Callithrix jacchus: one gene and its partner. The main gene of each other region encodes a partner of the protein of the gene in region 2 in a complex. Links are inferred from orthologs where the notes say so. Each region holds a gene or a part of one and is shown on either strand. Other genes may lie near its edges.

Region 1 (3,565 bases), on a different chromosome or scaffold from region 2:
CCATGCACCAAGGCTGCCTGTTAGAAGCAAACGAGCTGCTGCCAGCGGGGTCTGGGGTCAGTGCTGCTGGAGAGGGGGTCCGAGGTCAGTGGTGCTGGAGAGGGGGGGCCGGAGTCAGTGATGCTGGAGATGGGGGGCCGGGGTCAGTGGTGCTGGAGAGGGGGGCCGGGGTCAGTGGTGCTGGAGAGAGGGTCCGAGGTCACTGGTGCTGGAGAGGGGGGCCGGGTCAGTGGTGTTGGAAGGGCTGGGGTCAGTGGTGCTGGAGCAGGGGTCAGGGTCAGTGGTGCTGGAGAGAGGGGGCCGGGGCCAGTGGTGCTGGAGAGCCAGGGGCTGAGGTCAGTGGCCCTGGAGAGCAGGGACCAGGGTCAGTGGTCCTGGAGAGCTGGGGCTGGGAGCAGCGGTCAGTGGTGTTGAAGAGCTGGGAAGACGTGCACAGGGGCGACCAGCCTCTATGACCCACCCCGTCCCCACAGCAGCCCCCAGACCACTGCTCTCATGTCCACGCGGCCCCTCTGTCCCTCTCACCAGCAGCCAGGTAGATCTGTGACTCTGAGACCTAAAGCCTCATGAGCAGAGCTGGAGCAAACCTCCCACCCGGGTCTTCAGGCCCCACACTCCATCCCAGCTGCAGCCCATCCACCCTCACTGGGGCCTCATTCCTTCTCCAATTCCCTTGGGGTCTCCCTTTGGGGCCCTTCCTGCCACCCCCAGCCTACATGGCTCCCCCTGCACCACCAGGTTCTTGGTTGCTCACACCATCTCCCTCCCCAGAGGGGTGTCTCTAGGGCCCCAAGAGGCATCTGTGGCTGGTGTCCCTGCCTGGCCATGACAGGAGCTTCAGCAACTTTATCAGATGCATGGCTGAGAGGTGGGCGGTGGCTGTGTCACCTCAGAGGCTGCCCAGGGGACCGGCCGTAAGCGGCAGCAGGCCGGGGTACACAGGGACTACCGGGAAATGCGACTTGGGGTCGAGGTGGGGCCGAATGGGTCTGGGGCGATGCATTCTGTTTTCTTTTTCCTTCTTTCTTTTTTTTTTAAAGAGACAGTGTCTCACTCTGTCCAGGTGTGAGGATTTGAGGGGAGCGCTCAGGAGCTTCAGGCCATGGGAATAAGCTTTGGCCTTCACTCCCAGGCCCACCACACACACCTGGAGCTGCCCACAGAGGGGTGGACCCAGCACGGGGTGAGAGGAGCAGCACACAGGAGGAGCCGTGGGAGAGGGGTTGGGGTCCGGTCCTGCAGCTGCTCTGGCCTCCGCAGCCTCGGGGCCAGTCAGCCGGCCCCTCAGAGCAGCTCAAGGCCCCAGGGAGCCACAGCCAGACCGCCTGGCGCCTGTGCCTCAAAAGGCCAGAGCTGGGGCCACCCAGAGTGTGGTGCAAGACTGCGTGGGGTGGGGGCCTCCCTTCCTCCCTCCCCCCACCCCCACCGTACCTCCACTTGGGCCTCATCCCAGGCATCCAGGCGGATGGACTTGACCTTGCTGACCTGGGGGATGTTCCGGTGGATTCCCGAGCAGCTCAGGCAGATGAACACTCCCAGAGTGTAGGAGGCCCAGTCAGGATCTGCAAGGAAAAGCCGGGCATTCATAGTGGCTCAGCCCAGGGGCCCCGGAGGGAGGGTGGGCGGAGCCTGGGGTCAGGGTCAGGAGCCCCCAGCATGCCGTGGGAGGCTTTAGAGGAGACCCCCAGGTACAGCTGGCTCTGTGCAGACACCTTACCCCATCATCACCTGAACCCCGACCCCACCCAGTTGCAGGCAGAGCTCTCCCAAAACACCCCTTGACATCTGAGGAAGCTGATCTGCACAGGCTCTGCACGGGGTGCCAGGAACCTCCAGCAGAGGCTGGCCCAACAGGAGCCACCCAGCGCTTGTGAGGACGTGGCCCACGTGCTTTCCCGGTGTCTGCTGCCCTGGGAGACAGAGCCAAGATTGGAAAACTCAGATAGGATCTGAGTGCAAGGGAGGCCTCCATCCAACGCGGTGCCTGTCCCCGAACAGACCATAGCCGCAGAAGCGCTCAAGATGCACCGTGCGTTGGTGACAGCGCCCAGCCAGCACTAACTTGGCAGGTATGACAAAGGCCCTCTGGCTTCACCCTGCCACAAATTCAGCCTGTCTAGGGATTCCACATCTCCATGTCTAATTTGCCTTAAAAGGGTCAATAAAGCTGGGCACTGTGGCTCACACCTGTAATCCCAGTGCTTTTCGAGGCTGAGGCGGACAGATCATGAGGTCAGGAGTTCCAGATCAACCTGACCAATGTGGGGAAATCCCATCTCTACTAAAAATATAAAAATTAGTCAGACGCAGTGTGCATGCCTGTAATCCCAGCTACTCGGGAGGCTGAGGCAGGAGAATCACTTCAACCCATGGGGCAGAGGTTGCAGTGAGCCGAGATCGCGCCATTGCACTCCAGCCTGGGCAACAGAGTGAGACTCTGTCTCACACACACACACACACAAAGCTTCAACAAAGCTGGGAATTGTGGCTCGTGCCTGTAATCCCAGGGCTTTGGGAGGCTGAGGCAGCAGAATCTTTTTCTTTTTTTTTTTTTTTTTTGAGACAGAGTCTCTGTCACCCAGACTGGAGTGCAATGGCACAATCTCGGCTCACTGCAACCTCTGCCTCTTGGATTCAAGTGATTCTCCTGCTACAGCCTCCTGAGTAGTGAGGCACGTACCACCACACATGGCTAATTTTTGTATTTTTAGTAGAGATGGGGTTTCACTATGTTGGCCAAGCTGGCTGCCTCGGCCTCCCAGAGTGCTGGGATTATAGGCATGAGCCACCATGTGGGGTATGGGTGCCACAGCACAGTCTTCTTCTGCACATGTGAAATGTCTCATTCTGAAATGGCAAAGTGAGCCATAGGGAAGGTGCAGCTGGGCTGCGGTGTGACTCTCCTGTTTTCTTCCTGCTCCAAACGACCATCACAATAACGGCTGAAGAGAGCCCTAGAGAGAACAGTCTCTCTGGGGGAGATGTGTCAGCTCCGAAATGCTTTTATTTTTAAGTGGAGGCTCTCCTGGGTGAGGCTGATGGTAATCGAGGTACTTCCCGACAGGCAGGTGCCGAGGCGGAAGGAAGCCTGTCTGGGGAATCATGAGTGGAGAGGACCCCGCCCTCCAGGCCTGGCTGAGTATAGACCCCCTCCTCACACTGCTTGGGGCCCACCCTTGACTGGTGGGGGGACTCCAGTGCAGGGAAGTGGAGGCCCAGTGGGGCCGGGTCTGGACCCTGAGTCACTGCCAGGAGGAGAGGCACCCAAGCCAGCCCCGCTGGAGATCATGTTGTACATGCGAACCAACACGTGGGGCCCCTGGGATTTGGGGGTTGCCTGTCACAGACATCAATGGAGAGACAGACTTCATTAATTGGGCTCCCTGATTAACGAAGTCCGTCTCTCCATTAACATGGGCTGCCTGAGGACCCAAGACCCAGCATCCCCAGATCTGACACGGAGCTCAGTACAGAGCAGGTCTCCACAGGAGTCGTGAATGAAGGAGCCACCAATAGCCCTAGTTCAACAGAGCCACTGTGTCCAAGAGAGACCACAGGCTTTCTC
Region 2 (3,565 bases):
TCCCCCAAATCTACATAAGGAAGTCTTTCTGTAAACATTGGCCCAGAAAATCGTCAGTGTTTACCATCTTCACTTCTTTTCCTTCTCCCCCCAGATCTTTATACATTTCTGATGCTTTTAAGTTCTCCCAAACAATGCTGTAGTAGCGTGTAACACTTTCAGTTGAGAACCTTGTTTCCTTTTTTTTTTTGTCTCACTCTGTCGCCCAGGCTGGAGTGCAATGGCATCTTGGCTCGCTGCAACCTCTGCCTCCCGGGTTCAAGTGATTCTTCTGCCTCAGCCTCCTGAGTAGCTAGAAATACAGGTGTACACCACTACCCCTGGCTACTTTTTGTATTTTTAGTAGAGATGGGGTTTCTCTATGTTGGCCAGGTTGGTCTCAAACTCCTGATCTCATGATCTACCCGCCTTGGCCTCCCAAAGTGCTGGGATTACAGGCGTGAGCCACCATACCCCGCCTACCTTGTTCCTTTTTATACTTTAAAACATCAAATCTATGTTTCGCTCTTTCCTTGATATTTGTTGTTTCTTGGCATGTACACTGATTTTGTTCTGCATTCACTGTACTTGACAGTCTTGTTCTGTTCTGTGGCATATCCATGATTAGCCAAGTTCATATCCTTGCAGAGTGCTGATGTTTGACATCTGTCTTTGAATTGATGATGATGATGATGATGATTATATTCAGAGCAACTGACATTTAAATGTTCTTATGCTTCACAACGTCCACCTCTGTAGTCAGGGTCCTTGTAACCCCGTGTCCAGCTCTCGCTAAATACAGTAATTGCTACCACAGTTTTCCAGATGCAGAAGTCGAATCTCAGGTTGAACGGGATTTGGCTATCATAAGTCCTAAGTTAGTGACAGAGCTGGAACTGGAACCTGCACCTGTGACTCCGAGTGCTTGTTGCAACTCTCGGATTTCAAAACACACAGCCTTCTTTTTCCTTCAGGTTAAAATCCTCCAAGCTACTGGGTTGCCACAGCATCTGTCCCACTTTGTGTTCTGCAAATACAGCTTCTGGGATCAACAGGAGCCGGTGATTGTCGCTCCTGAAGTGGACACCTCCTCCTCTCCCGTCAGCAAGGAGCCGCACTGCATGGTTGTCTTTGATCACTGCAATGTGAGTTTGTTTTCCAGAGTAGGTCAGCATTTAGATCACTCATGTAAAAACAAAGCAGAAAATGAACCTTATTTCTTTGAATAATTGTGCCAAGATATCTTGGAGCAGTTTCTGTGCAATGTGGGGATTGAGCAAAAAGTGTCAATGCATCTGTACTCCTCCACAACCCAAAGGTCACTTTTGCATGAGAAACAAATACCTATGTATGTATATGTGCATTTTCTTCTCTAAAGAAAATCTATGCCCTGTATTAGATTACTGGAGAAATTATCTAAAACCATTAAGAAACTTTTGTTTTAGAGAAAGCAAACATAGGTAGCAGAGAAGAGCTAACTGTTGAGCACCAAATGCTCTGTGAAGCTGTTACTTCTTCATTTGATGCTCACCACAGGTGTATTTGATGATAGTGCATTTGTTGTTGTTGTTGTTTTGTTTTGTTTTTTTGTTTTGAGACAGAGTCTTAGTCTATCACCCAGGCTGGAGTGCAGTGGCACGATGTCGGCTCACTGAAACCTCTGCCTCCCAGGTTGAAGCAATTCTCCTGCCTCAGCCTCCCAAGTAGCTGGGATTACAGATGCCTCCCACCACACCTGGCTACTTTTTTTTTTGGTATTTTTAGTGGAGATGGGGTTTTACCATGTTGGTCAGAATGGTTTTGAACTCCTGACCTCCAGTGATCTGCCCACCTTGTCCTCCCAAAGTGCTGAGATTACAGGCATGAGCTACCATGCCTAGCCAGTAGTGCACTTTTTTTTTCCAGCTGAAAACACAAACAGTTCAGAGAGGTCAGTTTGCCCAAAATAGTTGCTCGTCGGTTTGTCCGTGGCTGGTGACCAGCTGAATGTGGACTGTTGGGTCCCCAAGTCTTTGTTGCTCCTGCACCACATTTGATCCAGCTCATCTCTTTCGAGAGAAAGGTCTCTTTCTAATCCATTTAAAACAAATACTTCAGTACATTAAAGATGGAGAGAGAGAGAGGAGACACCAGCAGAGATAGGAGATTCTGTGGTTTCTGTAATAAACTGTCTTAGAGCTCATTCCTAATTGCAAAATGCTATCTTATAAAAATGGACGGGCTGGGAGAATTTTTACATATCAGGTCTTTTTTTTTTTTTTTTTTTTTTTTTTTTTTTTGGTGCTAACGATTATTTCCCTTACCTCCTAATAGAGATAGGTAGCTTTCTAAAAAGTGGGAAAAACAGTTTTGAACACACTACCTTATTGCATATAATAACTTTTATATCAACACATTATAGACCAGTGTTGTAACACTTTGTACAATTAGGCTTTTAAAAATAACTCTCAGAATGCTGCTAACAAAACAATACAATGCTGATCTTACATACTAGACTTCTGAGGTGAAAAGTTTTAAAAAATTTAGATTTATAGTTATGTTTAAAGTCAAGAACCTTAGGCCGTCTGAGCATTCATTATGCGTCTTAGCTGACAGTTCCGTATAACTAAAACATTCCTTTTTCTATTTTTTTTCTTATGTAATTAAGTATGTGATGTCTGGTATCAATCCTAAGGTTACCAGAAGGAGTTGCCTCTTTGTGATCAGCTATTGTGTTTCAGGAGTTTTCTGTTAACATCACTGAAGACTTTATCGAGCATCTTTCTGAAGGAGCATTGGCAATTGAAGTATATGGACATAAAATGAACGATCCTCGGAAAAACCCAGCCCTGTGGGATTTGGGAATCATCCAAGCAAAGACACGTAGTCTTCGGGACAGGTGAATGTTAGATGTTCATCTGATTCCATTTATATATGTGTAATTTTTTTTTTTTTTTGAGACAGTCTCATTCCCTTTGTCACCCAGGCTAGAGTACAGTGGCATGATCTTGGCTTGCTGCAACTCCGGCCTCCCAGGAGTAAACAATTCTCTTGCCTAAGCCTTCCGAGTAGCTGGGATTATAGGCATGCACACCACACCTGGCTAATTTTTATATTTTTAGTGGAGCTGGGGTTTCACCATGTTGGCCACACTGGTCTCAAACTCCTGACCTAAAGTGATCCGCCAACCTCAGCCTCCCAAAGTGCTGGGATTGCAGGCATGAGCCACCATGCCTGGCCAGATTCCATTTATAATTTTTAAAGACTGCTAGAAATTAGTACTGCCATTTATGAAGGTTACTCTTTCCTGAGCATGACCAGGGTTCCCTGGAGGGATGGTAGTGTCTCCAGGGTGTTAATCACGCAGGGAAGCAAACTTCACAGAATGATGGAAGAAAGTTCAATTTGTAGCTGGTTAAAAAGAAACAGTGAAATTAATTTTGGAGAATAGTGACTTACCATTCTGAATTACTTCTAATTAATCAGGTGTAGAGAGGATGGATCAAGATTCACTCTAGAGTTCACACTTTCTTTGTCTTTAGCTCATGGTTCTGAGTGGCTTCGTTGTTGGAAAGAGGTAGGTTTCTTTGCGGACTTAAAAGGAAGC

The links. The genes of interacting proteins can lie anywhere in the genome.
Region 1: the proteins of KIF13B (region 2) and ADAP1 are in contact, whole or in part, in a crystal structure (PDB 3MDB), measured with the Homo sapiens proteins. The link is inferred for Callithrix jacchus from reciprocal best matches to the Homo sapiens genes KIF13B and ADAP1. Residues at the interface, in NP_056069.2 of Homo sapiens: Val451, Asn452, Leu453, Asn454, Ala455, Asp456, Pro457, Leu463, Arg512, Phe514, Asn516, Gly517, Arg531, Leu533, Asn536, Asn537, Phe539; in NP_006860.2 of Homo sapiens: Trp137, Asn143, Gly144, Gln145, Phe146, Leu147, Pro186, Ala187, Lys188, Ile189, Gly190, His191, Pro192, His193, Tyr211, Glu213.

Annotation. Positions count from the first base shown.
Region 1 is NC_133503.1:58,078,412-58,081,976, reverse strand, and holds part of ADAP1 (arf-GAP with dual PH domain-containing protein 1), read right to left. Parts: intron 1,563-3,565; coding exon 1,432-1,562; intron 1-1,431. UniProt on the Homo sapiens protein: GTPase-activating protein for the ADP ribosylation factor family. Binds phosphatidylinositol 3,4,5-trisphosphate (PtdInsP3) and inositol 1,3,4,5-tetrakisphosphate (InsP4). Regulates the incorporation of CD63 and CD9 into multivesicular bodies.
Region 2 is NC_133514.1:12,564,443-12,568,007, forward strand, and holds part of KIF13B (kinesin-like protein KIF13B), read left to right. Parts: intron 1-953; coding exon 954-1,124; intron 1,125-2,699; coding exon 2,700-2,857; intron 2,858-3,565. UniProt on the Homo sapiens protein: Involved in reorganization of the cortical cytoskeleton. Regulates axon formation by promoting the formation of extra axons. May be functionally important for the intracellular trafficking of MAGUKs and associated protein complexes.